Linked DNA regions of Diceros bicornis minor. The protein of the gene in region 2 interacts with the protein of the main gene of each other region in a pairwise test. Links are inferred from orthologs where the notes say so. Each region holds a gene or a part of one and is shown on either strand. Other genes may lie near its edges.

What was found.
Region 1: the proteins of C21H8orf33 (region 2) and HAP1 interact in a two-hybrid assay, tested with the Homo sapiens proteins (2 studies listed by BioGRID and IntAct). The link is inferred for Diceros bicornis minor from reciprocal best matches to the Homo sapiens genes C8orf33 and HAP1.

The regions. Positions count from the first base shown.
Region 1 is NC_080757.1:41,022,694-41,031,023, reverse strand, and holds the start of HAP1 (huntingtin-associated protein 1), read left to right. Parts: upstream 1-5,057; coding exon 5,058-5,535; intron 5,536-6,580; coding exon 6,581-6,660; intron 6,661-6,991; coding exon 6,992-7,180; intron 7,181-7,302; coding exon 7,303-7,493; intron 7,494-7,701; coding exon 7,702-7,807; intron 7,808-7,885; coding exon 7,886-7,952; intron 7,953-8,330. UniProt on the Homo sapiens protein: Originally identified as neuronal protein that specifically associates with HTT/huntingtin and the binding is enhanced by an expanded polyglutamine repeat within HTT possibly affecting HAP1 interaction properties.
Region 2 is NC_080760.1:57,568,309-57,575,178, reverse strand, and holds C21H8orf33 (UPF0488 protein C8orf33 homolog), read right to left. Parts: upstream 2,567-6,870; 5' UTR 2,462-2,566; coding exon 2,456-2,461; intron 2,371-2,455; coding exon 2,325-2,370; intron 2,247-2,324; coding exon 2,077-2,246; intron 1,925-2,076; coding exon 1,840-1,924; intron 1,691-1,839; coding exon 1,544-1,690; intron 1,173-1,543; coding exon 1,033-1,172; 3' UTR 557-1,032; downstream 1-556.

The DNA of each region.
Region 1 (8,330 bases), on a different chromosome or scaffold from region 2:
TCCAGGCGATGCAATATTATTCAGCGATAAAAAGAAATGAGCTATCTAGCCGTGAAAAGACATGGAAGAACGTTAAATACATATTACTAAGTGAAAGAAGGCAATCTGAAAAAGCTGCATACTGTATGATTCCAACTCTATGACATTCTGGAAAAGGCAAAACTAAGAGACAGTAAGAAGATCAGTGTTGCCAGGGGTTGGGGGGAAGGAGGGATGAATAGGCAGACCACAGAGGATTTTTAGGGCAATGAAAATACTCTGTATGATACAATAATGCTTGAAATAGGTCATTATACATTTGTCCAAACCCACAGAATGTACAACACCAAGATGAACCCTAATGTAAACTATGGACTTCAGGTGATTATGATCTGTCAATGTAGGTTCATCAGTCATAACACATGTACCACTCTGGTGGGGGATGTTGATAATGGGGGAGGCTGTGCATGTCTCGGGGCAGGAGGTATATGGGAACTCTCTGTGCTTTTTTCTCAGTTTTGCTATAAACCTAAAACTCCTCTAAAATATAAACTTTATTTTTTTAAAAAAGATAATATGTGAGAGTGATGGAAATACTCATTATCTTGATTGTGATGATAGTTTCATGAGCGTTATATCAAAACATCAAATTTTACATTTTAGGTATGTACAGTTACAAATGTCAATTATTCCTCAATAAAGCTGTTTGAAAAAAAAGGAATGAAGTATTGATGTATAGTGCAACATGGATGAACCTTGAAAACATTGTGCTAAGTGAAAGAAGCTAGACACAAAAGGCCACATCCTGTATGATTCCATTTATATGAAATGCCCAGAATAGGCAAATCCATCGAGATAGAAAGCAGATTAGTGGTTGCCAGGGGTTTGGGGGAGAGGGGAATATGGAATGACTATTAATGGGTATGGGGTTTTATTCTGGGGTGATGAAAATGTTCTGAAATTAGATAGTGGTGATGGTTGCACAACTCTGTGAATATACCAAAAACCACTGACTGGACACTTTAAAATCATGAATTTTATGGTATGTGAATTATATCTCAATAAAGTTGTTAATTTTTTTTTAATAATTTTATTTATTTATTTTTTCCCCCAAAGCCCCAGTAGATAGTTGTATGTCATAGGTGCACATCCTTCTAGTTGCTGTATGTGGGACGCGGCCTCAGCATGGCCGGAGAAGCGGTACGTCGGTGTGCCCCCGGGATCTGAACCCAGGCCACCAGCAGAGGAGGGCGCACACTTAACCGCTAAGCCACCGGGCCGGCCCAAAGTTGTTAATTTTTTAATAATTTTTTCTTTTTGTGAGGAAGACCAGCCCTCAGCTAACATCCATGCCAATCCTCCTCTTTTTGCTGAGGAAGACTGGCCCTGAGCTAACATCTATAGCCAATCTTCCTCCTTTTTTTTTTCCCTTTTTCTCCCCAAAGCCCCAGTAGATAGCTGTATGTCATAGTTGCACATCCTTCTAGTTGCTGTATGTGGGACGCGGCCTCAGCATGGCGGGACAAGTGGTGCGTCAGCGCGCGCCTGGGATCCGAACCTGGGCCGCCAGTAGCAGAGCGCGCGCACTTAACCGCTAAGCCACGGGGCCGGCCCAATTTTTCAAAAAGACTTATAAGGTTGTTATGGACTAAATGTTTGTGTCCCCCCACCCCACCCCAAATCATATGCTGAAATCCTAATCCCCAGTGTGATGGTATTAGGACGTGGGGCCTTGGGGAGGTGATTAGGTCATGAGGGTGGAGCCTCATGAACGGGAATTGTGGCCATATAAAAGAGGCCCCCGAGAGCTCCCTCACCCCTTCCTCCACGTGAGGACACAAGGGGAAGACAAGACAACAGTCTATGAACCAGGAAGCAGGTCCTCACCAGACACCCAATCTGCTGGCATCTTGATCTTGGACTTCCAGCCTCCAGAGCTGTGAGAAATAAATTTCTGTTGTTGGTATTTTGTTATAGCAGTCTGAAGGGACTAAGACACCCCCCCTCCATCTGTCTATTCTCAGCCGAACAGCCAGAGCCTTCCTGCTAAAACTTAAGTCAGATCGTGTCGCTCCTGTGATGAAAAGCCCTCCACGGACTCAGGTAAGGTGGTCCATCGGCCCTGCTGCCCCCTTCCTGACCCCATCACCCACAATCCCGTCTCCTTGTTCCATTTTAGCCATTTTGACCTCCTCTGGCTGCAAGGCTGTGCATTTGCTGTTGCTTCTCACCAGGTGAATATCCTCCCTTGCTCCCTCCCTCCCTCAGCTCTGGACTTAGTGACTCTTCAGTGAGATCTTTCCTGACCCCCCTAATATTTAAACTTGCAACCCACAGCCCACCCCCCACCCCCAGGCCCTCCTCCCTGCTTTCTTTTAATCCACAGCACTCGTCACATCTAATACACTATGTGATTTACTCCTTTGTTTATTATTTGTAGCTCCCATTGCATGTGGGCCCTATGAGGCCAAAGATCTTTGTTTTGCTCACTGATGTGTTCCCAGCACCTGCCACAATGCCTGGCACCAGGTGCTTAATAACTGTTTGTTGAATGAATAATTATTGGAAGATAATTTAGGGGGCCGAGAAGAGTTGAGATGAAAGAAGAAATGAAGCTAACAAATATTAAAGTTGCTAAAGATTAGAACCATAAAAAAGGGCAGCATGTGAAAAGCATAGAGAGCAGCTGTGGATCTTAGACGTCCCATCTGTTTATCCAAGGCCTCTGGCCTGAGCCACCCTTAACCACCTGGCAGAAGTGCCCTGGAGCCTGTATGGGAGGAGGAGCAGAAGAGGGAGCAGGGGTCAGGGTGGGCAAGGGTTGGGAGGAGTTTGAGTTCCCCAGGGGAGCCACTTCCTTATTTCCCTGCCCATGAGGGGGCTGCATTTGGAGCCCTGACTTCAGAAACCACGTAACTAGTGAGCACTGCCCCTTTGATAGAGAGGTGAATCCCTGCAGGGCTGATGCAGGTGTGAGGGATTTAGGGCTGGGGAGGCGAATTGGTACCAGGGTTCGCTCACCAATCAGGAATGAGAAACGCTGGCTCCTGAGGAGAGAGGCTGCCATTTGAGGGGGGCAGGGATGAGTGGGCTGCGAAGACCGAAGACCGGGGGTGTGGGCTGAGATGCAAAATCCTATGCCATTAGTGATTTCTCCCCTCCCACCCAGAGCACCGGGTCTGATGGGTACTTTCCATTTTTCTCAACGGTAGCTCCCTGTTTGCTTCTCTCAGAGAACGCACCACACTCTGTAATTATCTTGTTTCCTTGTTTATCTGCTTCCCCTTCTAGGCTCTAACCTCCAGGACAGTAGGGGTCTGGTTCTCTTGTTTCCTGCTCTGGCCTGCGAGTCTAGGACAGTGCCTGGTATAGAGAGGAGGCACTTAATATACGTTTGTCAAATGAATTAACGAGCTCAGACAGACGGAAACATTCTTCTCCAAGTGCTTCTCCATAGGAGAGCTGGTGGAGGGGGCACTTTGATTCTCCTTCCTGGGTTGTGTCTCTTGTTCTGTGCTGTCACGGACACCTGGCCCCAAAGGCATGCTGTCAGCACTAGGACCCTCTGTCCTAGGTGCAGACCTTGGGCAACAGCCTGTCCTGGGCTCAGGCTTGGAGTGGTGGCTGTGGAGAAGGGGTCCTGGAATTCCTTAGCTCAGACAGGAGTATGAGAGGGATGGACTAGAGATGGATTCACGTGGGTGGGGTTGGGGGGAGAGGTGAGTATCACAATAATCTAGAAGAGAGGATGAGGCCTCACCAGCAGAAGGGCTGAAGAGGCAAGGGCACATTTGAGAAATATTTAGGAGGTAAATTAAGCATGACTTGGTGAGTGATTGGGTATTGAAGAGAAGGAAACTGGGGGACCGAGAATGATCCCAAGGCTTTAAAAGACTCAGAGCCACAGCCATCTCTTTTTGGCCTGTAGGTTCCTCCAGTCCAAAGGCACAGAAATGGCTACTGGACTCCTCTGCCAGCCCACAGGTCATGCAGGACTTACGGCGACCCTCGTAGGTATCTGGTCTGTGCTGCGCTCCGATGGACACGCTCCCTGCGGTGAAGGGTGGCAGTCTGCTCTTGGAGACAAACACACTCCGACCACTGCCGGCCAGCGAATAAGGAATGCTCTGGCGCGTGGGAGACGGGGTCAGAGGAGTCTTCTCAGGGAGACATCTAAGCGGGGTCTGCCGGAAGAACACGTGTTCCCCAGGATGGAAGGAAGTGGGCAAAGTGAATGAGGGCTGGAGGTGAAGCAGGAGGAAAGGCAGTAAGACAAATAAATAAGAAAGGGGGCTGTCGGGGCGGCCCCGTGGCATAGCGGTCAAGTTTGCGCGCTCCGCTTTGGCGGCCGGGGGTTCGCAGGCCCTGAACCCGGCGCCGACCCACGCACCGCTCATTAAGCCATGTTGTGGCAGCATCCCATATAAAGTAGAGGAAGATGGGCATGGATGTTAGCTCACGGCCAATCTTCCTCACAAAAAAAAAAAGGGGGGGGGGACTGCCCAGTGGCTCCAGCGCGCGGGGGTGGGGGTGGGGGTGGGGGTGGGGGTCGGTGTCAGGCTGAGCGCGAGGATCAGCTTGTGACGCGCCAGGCCAGGCAGCGCGTGGAAACCGAACAGGAGTTTGGATTGATCCCTCAGCCAAGGGGAAAGACACAATACTGTCCTAACTCACAGGTCACCCCGGCCCAGACCCAGAGAAGGCAGTCAAAAACCCCTGCAAGGGAGCAGAGGGAGAGGGTGCCCCCAGTTAGGGACCTCCGAGTCGCTGTACCCGAATCCCGGAGAAGCGGCTTTGGGCAAAACCATTCTCCGGAGGTGGAGAGGGGAGGAAAAGCCCTACACTCGGAACCCAAGCCCACGGAACCAGCTGGAACCTTCACTGGCCTCTTCTCCTCGCTCTTCTCTTGTTTTTACCCTCTGCTCTGCCACCATTAGCTGCCCTCCTGCGCTACCCCCCGTCCCGGGCACCACTAGTTGCTCCTCGGCCGCCCCTCCCGCGCGTGGTAAGGCCCGGCGGGCGCGCGCTCCCGGCACAGGTTATAAAGGCCCGGCTGCGGCAGCCGACTGCGGAGCAAGATGCGCCCGAAAGACTGTGGGCAGAGCTGCGCTGGGGACCGGCCGGGCCCAGGACCCGGGGATCCGGCAGCAGCCACCCCCGCACTGCCACCCGCAGCCAGTCCCGCTCCTGAGCCCTCCGCCGAGCCTGAAGCCGCTCCTGCGCACGCAGCGGCGGCTGGACAAGGAGCAGGATCTGGATCCCCATCCGTCTCGGGACCCCCAGCCGGAGTTCGCTTGGCCTCCGAGGCTGGATCGGAGGCAGGATCCCAGCGCGCATCTGCATTCTCGGCCGTCCAGGGGAATGCCCAGTCCGTGCCCGGCGACTCGGATGTGCCATGGACCCACTTCATATTTCAAGGGCCCTTTGGTCCCCGGGCCACTGGCCTGGGCACTGGAAAGGCGGCGGACATCTGGAAGACGCCAGCTGCCTACATTGGCCGGCGGCCGGGGGTGTCGGGCCCCGAGCGTGCCGCCTTTATTCGGGAGCTAGAGGAAGGTAAACCGAGTCCTCTGGACCCCGAAGCGAGTGGGACTAGGGCAGCTCCAGGGAGGAGGGGGCCCCGTCGGGTCCAGGTGCCCCGCTCCCCCGACACTCAGTCCCACCCCTCCACCCGCCCTCGCCGTGTCACTGTCTGCGGTGCCAGTCCGGTCGCCTCTTCCCCATCTCCTCTTCCCTTCTCTCGCTCCCTGATTTCTGTGGGTGGGTCAGGTGCCCGGGCCCGCGCGCTCCCTCGGCCCGCTCTGCGCGCCTGTTGCTGCGGTAGATCTGAGCACTCTCAGGGCCCCCCTCCTCAGTCTACCGCAGTGCCAGGAGCGGGGCGGGGGGCTGCGGGAGGGCGCTGCCCGGCGCGCTCTGAGCCTGCGCTGGCCCACCGCGCCCGCGATGGGGAGGTGTGTGGGAGGAGGGGGGGGGTTGCCAGCCTATTGGAGGCGGGGGTCAAGGTCGGCTTTTCCCCAGCCTGGGGTTGGGCGGGGCCTCAGGCGGAGTCTGCCCCTCCTCTTCCCTCCCATCCTCTTCTGGGAGATCTCTGGATTGGGTCTAGAGGCTCAGGTGCCCCTATTCCAGTGCTGGAGAAGTCTCTAACTCCTCTCCTCCCCACATGCAACAGGTGCAGGGTGGGAGACTGCGTCTGTGTTTATGATCCGTGAGGCTCCGATGAGCTGGCCAAGCTGCCCTCTGGGTAGCTGGTGATGAGTCAGTCTGTGGTACTTCCGCCAGCCACCTCCATTCTCCTGGGTTCCACGGACCCAGGCGTCCTGAGAGCGCAGTTCCGCCTGAGCCTGGAGGACTGTGATCTCCTTACCTCACCCAGCTCCTCCAGAAAAAAAATGAGTCCAGTTGGCCCTGGGAGCAGGGAAGGGAGTGCTGAGTACTAGGGGTATGGAGAGGATATTGGGGGCAGGAAGGGAACTCAGTCTTCTCCTCCCCTGTTGCTGACTCTCACTGTTGAGGGAGAACTGGGGATAGGGCAGGAAACAGTGGGGTACTGGTTAGTGTATGCCCCCTTTCTCCTGACCTGGCTGCCTGCTTTCTCTTGCAGTGCTGTGTCCTGACCGACCCCCGCCAGGCAAGAAGATCAGCCAAGAAGATGTGCAAGTGATGTTAAATCTGCTCGAGGAGGTCTGTACTGCCTGGCCTACCTGGACCAGCCTGAGCTTTCGCCAGGCCCCTGTTTTAATTCTGTCCTGTAGGAGTAGGAGTCTTGTCTGTTTCCTGCCTGGCTGCCTCTTTGGGGGCCCCTCTTACAGAAGGCAGGTCGATGTGGGATGTCCAGGCTGGAAGAGCTCTTAGAGCCCTCTGGTCTGATCTGTTCTTTTTTCATAAGGGGAAACTGAGTCAGGCCCCACAGTGGGTTAACGGCGGACTCTTGTCTAGTACCCTGGAGAGCTGCGAGATGGTGAGGGTTCCCCCTAGTGGCCTAGCTTCCCTCTGACGCCTGTGTACTCCCTAGCTTCTCCCACCTGTCTGGGAGATCTCAGAAACCAGGAAAGTATTCCCTGTGGATGGGGGGGTCCCTCTGCAGAGAGAGCGGGACCTGAATACGGCAGCTCGCATCGGCCAGTCCCTGGTGAAGCAGAACAATGTTCTGATGGAGGAGAACAGCAAGCTGGAAGCCATGCTGGGCTCAGCCAGGGAGGAGGTAACTGGGTAGGGAGTAGGGGGTAGGGGTATGCCATCTCAGACCTACCTACATCCCCCTCCTGCCAGGACCCGTGCCTGCCCCGCCCGCGGCCTGACCTGGGGCTCCTCTCCCCCTGCCAGATTTTACACCTCAGACACCAGGTGAGCTTGCGGGATGACCTCCTTCAGCTCTACTCAGACTCTGATGATGAGGAGGAAGAGGAGGAGGAGGAGGAGGAAGAAGAAGAAGAGGAGGAAGAGGAAGAGGAGGAGGAAGAGGAGGAGGAAGAGGAAGAGCAGCAGAGTGATCTTCCTTATGAAGACCCCGAGCTGTGAGTGCCCTGCCTTTGCACCTGAGCGGCCCCTTCTCTGAGCCTCAGTTTCCTTGTTTGCAAATAGGGACACAGACAGCGTCCCTGCCAGCAGGATTGCTGGGGCTGGTTGAGACCACCATGCTCAGCCCGGGTGGGGGAGCCCTGGGTGCACCGGGCCCTGGGGCTCCCAGTCCTGCCCTCTGACTCCCATCGCTCTCTCCCCTAGGACACCTCTGACGGAGTCGGAGTCGCTGCACCACTGCCCACAGCTGGAAGCCCTGCAGGAGCAGCTGAGGCTGCTGGAGGAGGAGAATGACCAGCTGAGAGAGGAGGTGAGGATGGGGGAGGAGGGTGCGCCCGCGGGCAGGGGGTGTTGACTCCCCTGCCCCTTCCTCTCTCCCTTCCTCCAGGCCTCTCAGCTCGATGCCCTTGAGGAGGAGGAGCAGATGCTCATTCTGGATTGTGTGGAGCAGTTTTGTACGTGAAATTGTAACTTGGGGTGGGGGCTGTCCCAGGGAGCAGAGGGAAGAACTCAGGTCTTGGAGACCTGAGTTCAAGTCCAGTCCCACCTCTGGCACTTCCTAGCTGTGTGAGCTTGGACAAGTTCCTTGACCTTTCTGAACCGTCATCTTTAGAATGGGGATTAATAATCTCAGCCCTGTTGACCTTCTCAGGGCCACAGCTGAGGAAGTGCTTTGTGCAAACTGTAAAGAGCTCAACAGAAGCTTTGAGTCTCCTCTAAGCCAGTCTCCTTTTGTTATTTGGGGCAGGGAGAGGAAGGGGGCTGGAAGCGAGGAAGGGAGGGAGCTATGTGAGCTGCCAGAGACCAGGCCCCCTGAGCGTTGGGGCCGGGGC
Region 2 (6,870 bases):
ATGCTCCAGGTTTTTGGCTTAATCAACTAGGTGGACAGTAGTGTCATTCACTGAAAAGCAGAAGACGAAGGGAGATTTAGAGGTTGATCGGATGTTTTGAACATGCCAAATTTGAAATGCCCATGAAACATCCAAGTAGAGATGCTGAGTAGGCAGCTGGGCTCCGGGCTTCTATCTAGTCTGAGATGCAAGTTTGGGAGATACCACCAAAATGGCATCACAGCCACTGAGGAGGATTAAGCCACCTGGAAAACCTGATTCAATGCAGCAGAAGGCCTGGGACTATCGCCTGGAGCAGCCAACATTTAGAGAGGTCATCCACCGAGGCTTAACCCGAGTCTTTGGCGGGGACTGTTAGGCCAAGAAGCTCTCTGCTCCTAAGAACAAAGCCTGGCCTGCTGGGAGCCACACTGGCTCCCTGAGGATGAATTGCTCAGAAATGAAGGCAACAAAAATGACCAAGCACTGGGGTGAGAGCCTGGATCCAGCACTGCCAGACGCCTGCCTCATCTGTACTTCCTCTAGCACACACGGTTAGCACACGCTTTCACTCATCCACTTTTATAAAAATTAGTTTTATTGGGGCAACGTGACATCACGAGAGAAAGCACCACACCATGTGGCAGGACCTCCTTTCCTAAGTGAGCACCAGTGCACAATCACACAGCTTTCCCACCATTCCTCACTACCAACAGCTACTACATCTAACACTAAAGACTGACTAAAATATTCTTTCTATAACATGCTGAACACTCACTTCAGCTTATTGTTGAAGCTTTTCTAAACGGACTTCCCTCTTCTGGCAGGAGGAACAATTCACCTGAAGACCTACAAATGGGGGTCTCGTGCTTGTCTGACAGTACCCAATATGCTGGTCTCACATCTGCCCAAAAAACGGCACCAGACTCACTGACCAGCCAGGGACAGACCAACCCCACATCTGTCCCACAGAGCATTCCTGGAAAGGCTCTGCACCCAAGATAAACCCCCACACCACTCACGGAGAGGGACTGTTCCAGGATGGGGGAGAGGCTAAAAGAAATTGAACCTAAACTCTTCATCAGGAGTGTCCAGGGTGGCCTTGGCTCCCCCTGCTAGGTGAGGCCTGCAGACCCTTCCACTCTTCTTTCTGGCGGCCTCACCTACAGGCTGCACCTGGGCTGACTGGGCTGCTGCGGGAGAAGAGAGAGACAGCATGAGGACTGAATAACAACAGCTAACATTACCTCTGCCCCCACAATTCTAACTGCTTTGTATAAATTTAACTGACTTCTCAAAATTATGAGGTAGGTAGTATCATCACACTCCTTTTAGAATCAAAGAGTAATTCACTAACTCTCCTGCTCGTCTCCCTGGTCTAGGCCCAAATTCTGTGTTCCCGAGGTCCGAGCTTTCTCATTCCCCGCTCCCTGAGGTTTCCCTGAGCCAGTCTCCTCCTCCCGCCAGCCATGTGGCTCTAAGCTTCTTTCTTTCACTCCCTAGGCTCTTCTTCCCCAACCCTTGAATTAGGCTGCCCTGAATCAACCAGTTCCCGGGTCCTCACCAGTCCGGAGGGCCCGCAGGGCTTCGCGCCACTCGCCTTCCATCTGAGCCCTGTAGTCCCCAAACAAGGAGCGCATCAGCTGCCTCTTCCGGGGCAGGGGGGTTCTTTCGCTGTGCAGGGTTCGGATTGCCCCAACAGCCTGCTCTCCTGCGGAAAAAAAAAAGGACTAGTGGCCTCCTCTATCCTCTCCTCCTATCGTCCTACCGCAAAGGCAACAATTCCACCCGGGCAGCACCTACAGCCCAGAGCACTGTCACCATTCACCGCCCCACCAACTCTACAGACGGGCCCCTCACTCTGTCTCGGGCTGGGTCTCCGCGTCTTGAGGCCTAGCTCCAGCTGCTCCACGCACCAGGCCAGTTCCCGAGCCAGCTGCTCCGCCTGTGATGGATGGGGGTAGTGGCTGCGAGAGGGCCTCCAGGCCCACCCCACAGCGACCCCCACGCCCCCATCCCATCCTCCGCCACCTCCACCCGCAAATCTGAGCGCACACCGCGGGCAGACTCCACCCTCCCGACCGAGGCCGCCCTTGCCTGGGCCTCCGCGCTCAAGGGTGCTTCCTCTGGGGCCGGCTCTTCGGGGGCCTTGCTGCCCGGATTCGCCACAGAGGGCCCCTTCCGGGTTTTCTTTCTCTTCTTCTGCTTCTTAGCGTCCGCCTCGCCTCCACCGCCTACGGGGCGCGCGTCCCCGCGCGCGGGGGGCCCTGGGCGGAAACGGACCGGGTGGGACCCTACAGCGGAGGGACCCGGGAAGCCGGGGCCGCGGGGCGCGCGCGCGGTACCTGGACCTGGGGCCGCCGCTGTCTCCCGAGCAGGATGTCCCAGGGCCTGGAGAAAGGGGGCAGCACGAGGATCACGGGGGCCGCCACGGCGCCAGGCCCCGCCGCCCGCGCGCCCTCCCCGCCCCGCTCACCGCCATGCGCCAGGTCGCCGCCGGAACCCACGTAGGTCCTCGGGTCCCACGCCGAATTCGCTCCTCCAGCAACGCGCCCGCGGCGCAGCGTTCCGGGCGCGAGCGGGCGGCGGGCGGCGGGCGGCGCCCGCCCGGAGCGGAGCCAGGCCCAGCTCTCACTCTGTTGTGGCCCCGTCGATCCTTCAGCACCTCACAGCCGCCTCGTTTGTTTTCCCTGGCGGTACTAGCGCCTCTTCAACCCCCAGAACCCGGCAGCAGGTCCTTGAAGAACCTGAGAGAGGAAGGTGTGGAGGACCCAGGCGGCCCCGTCAGCGGTCCCCGAACTCCTCTCCGCGCCCCGCCCTGGCGTGTGGTGAAGGCTCCCGGGCCCCGCCAGCTCTCCCGCTGTCCGCGCCTCCACGGCCGCTCAGACCCCACGCCTCGCGTCCACTCTCCGCCACCACGGCTGCGTCCTCGCTCTTGAGACACACCAGTCTCCGCTAAAACGATGTTTGCTCGGCCTGCTCTCCTAGCCTCCTTGGAAAATGTATTACCACCTTCATACGTGCAAATATGCAGTCAATTCTCATTATGTGAGGTAGTTCTATGAAGTGGCTGAGAATACTGAACCATTGCTTCTAGGGGAAATACAGTTCAGTTCCTGGCAGCCACCGTTCATGATATTTTCAACAACCTTGAAAATAACCTTGTTTTACGTGTGCTTCTGTTAAAGACACTTTTTAAAATATATGTAGTTGATTTACTAACATTGAGCTCATGGCCAACAGCACTATGACTCATGCCTGAATGAAGTTATCTGGACACATATTTCCTCCGTGAGGCACATCACAGCCTTCTTGCAGTTAGGAACACTAGACAGCACTTCAGCACTATGCTTGAGGGCCATTTTAAACAGCAAAAGCACCAACAAAAAGCACAAAAATGCAAAAAGTGTGGCACTGAATATACTGTGACAAGGACACAGGTTTACAATATAAGAGCTGAAACAAGAAAGCAGAGTGTCACCTTGGTCAGCCTCAGCTGTGAAGTCTGGTGACGGATTTTTCACTGCTCTGTGAATGTCCGTGAATGACCATGAAAGCACTAGTTTAGATTTTGGGGTTACAAATAAGTTCTAGCAAGTAGGCAAATTTGCAAATATGGAATCCACAGTAATGAAGATTGACTGTATATATAAACGTATTTTAAGGTAAAAATCATTAAAATGCATGTATCTACCACCCAGTTTAAGAACCAGAACATTATCAATATCTTTGAGGACCCTATGTGCCCTTCCTTCCAAGGTCATAATCCATTCCTCCCTTCAGAGAAAACAACTACATTGAAATTGACCATTTCTTTGCTTTTCTTGATACTTATATAACACAAATATGGATCTCTAAACAATATTGTTTAGTTTTGCACGTTTTGAACTTTAAATACATTAAATCATCTGTATGTGTTTTTTTTGTTTTGTTTTGTTTTTGTTTTTGTTTTTTGTGAGGAAGATCAGCCCTGAGCTAACATCCATGCTAATCCTCCTCTTTTTGCTGAGGAAGACCGGCTCTGAGCTAACATCTATTGCCAATCCTCCTCCTTTTTTTCTCCCCCAAAGCCCCAGTAGATAGTTGTATGTCATAGTTGCACATCCTTCTAGTTGCTGTATGTGGGACGTGGCCTCAGCATGGCCGGAGAAGCGGTGCCTCGTGCGCCCCCGGGGATCTGAACCTGGGCCGCCAGTAGCGTAGTGCACGCACTTAACCGCTAAGCCATGGGTCCGGCCCCTGTATGTGTTCTTAAGCTTGTTTTTTCCTCAGTATGTTGTGAGGGTTATGCATGTTGCTGTGTACAGCTGTAGTTCATTGTCTTCACTGGTGATGATATTCCACAGTATAAGGAGACACATCAATAAATATTTGCACTTCTTCCATTTTTTTGCTATTATTCACAATGCACTAGGAATATTCTTGTATGTCCCCTTTGTGCAGGAATTTCTCTAAGATATATCTAGGAGTGGAAAAGCAGAGTTGTAGGGTTATCCACATTTTCTACTTTCCCAGATAATATCAGCATCAATTTTCCAAAGTGGTTGTACCAGGTTACACTCCCACCAGCAGTGTATTAGAATTTATATGTTCACAGCTTCACTATTTGGTATTATCAGACTTTTAAATTGTCAGTGTGATGGGTGCAAAATAGTATCACACTGAGATTTTAATTTTCGTTTTTCTGAGCATCTTGTCATAATATTTATTGGCCACTAATGTTTCTCTTTCTATAAAGTTCTTGTTTATGTCTTCTGTTCATTTTTCTATCTGATCCACTGTTTCTTATTGAAGGCATAGAAGTTATTTACATATTATAAATATTCATCTTTTGTCAGTTGCATATGTTATAAACATCTTTTCCCACTCCGCAGCTTGTCTTTTCACTTTCTTTATAGTGTACTTTGATGAAAAGAAATTCTTATTTTTTAACAACATTGAATGTATCAATCTTTTTATTTCCCCTTTTTGTGTCTTAAGAATTTTTCAACTTGGGATCATAGAGCTAACTTCCTCTTCTAAAAGTTTATGGTTTTGCCTTTCAAATTCAGATTTTTAGTCTAACTGAAATTGATTTTTGTGTCCATGTAAAGTAGAATTCAATTTTATTTTTAAAATATGGATAATCAACTTTCCTAACCTCATTTGTGGAATTCTGATCTGCAAAGCCACCTCCATCGCAGCTCATTTCCACATATACATGGGTGTGTTTCAGAACTCTACACTTTGTTCCATTAGGCCTTTGTATGTCCCAGCACTAATGCCACTCTGGTTAACTGCCAACCTTTATAAGTCTGATATTCAAATGAGCTTATTCATTTCCATTAAAAAATGGAAATGTCTCCTTGGACATTTTTGTGAGATGAGTTAATTCTGTAGAGCATTTTGGGAAGAATTGATTCTCTGTATTAAACAATCATGAATCTAACATGAACCTAGTATACCTCCCATTTAATTAGGTCTTCTTCAATATTTTTCAACATTCAATATTATATTTCAATAAACTTCAATAAAGCTTTATAACTTTCTCCCTAAAAGTCTTTCACATTTTGTAACTAATCCTACATATGCTATTTTTAAATTGCTATTAGGATTCAAATTGGGGCACAAATCATATGTACACTTATGGTATAATAAGAAAAATATTTTATTTTTGTCCTTAGTTCATGGCACAGAGCTCCAAAACCCCTTGGAATTTCCTGAGTGATAAGGATGATAGGAGCATCTTTTGTTCTAATGAGATGACTCTTGGCCAGCCCCTAGACAGCTTCAGGATGGGGGCTGGTCACCAGAAATACTAAGCCTTATTAGAAACTTGGAACTTTCAGCCCCACCTCCCAATCTACAGGGAGGGGAGAGGGGCTGGAGACTGAGTTAATCATCAATGGCCACAATCATGCCTACATAAGGAAACCTCCATTAAAACCTCTAAACGAGGTGATCTGGGGAAGCTTCTGAGCTGGTGAACACATCCATGTGCTGGCAGGGTGGTGCACCCCACTCCACAGGGACAGAGGCTCCTGCACTTGGGACACTTTCAGACCTCCCCTATGTACCTCTTCATCTGACTACTGATTTGTACCCTCTGTAATAAACTATAATAGTAAGTATAGCATTTTCCTGGGTTCTGTGAGTCATTGTAGCAAATTATTGAATCCGGGGTGGCGGAATGTGGGAACCCCTGACTTTGTAGCTCAGTCACACAGAAGTGTGAGTGCCCCAGGCACTTGACACCTGTGACTATGTCTGAAGTAGGGACAGTCTTGTGGGCTGAGCCCTTAATCTGTGCAGTCTGCACTAACTCCAGGCAGTTAGGGTCCGAGTTGAGCTGAATTATAGGACTCCCAGCTGGTGTTGGAGAAGACACCATGTATTTGGTGTCAGGAAGGAAAAAACCACAATCTTTAATGATTTTCTTGTCTGTCTGATCTACCAATTATTGAAAAAGGCATGTAACACCCTCCCACTATGATGGTGAGTTTGTGTATTGCTCTTAGCAATTCTACAATTTTTGAAGTATATTTAAAACTATTTTATTCTGTGAATTTAAAATATTTGTATCTTTCTGGCTAAATGAACATTTCAGAATTATGTAATGGCATTCTGTTATCTACAGTAATGACTTTGGTCTTAAAGTTGATTTCATCTCATACAGCTTCAATAGCTTTCTTTTTTCATCTTCTCACTTTCAAACTTTGTGTCCTCAGGTTTTGAGTAGGTCTCCATATAGCTTGATTTTTTTTCAAAAAATCCAGTCTGGTAATCTTTGCCTCATGGAGGAAAGTTTAACCCACTGATAGTTTTATGACTTGCATCCTGCTTGTCTTTTTTTTTCCCCCCTCACTTTTTTCATTTCTCACCTTACTTTGGATTGACTGGGGATTGTTTCTT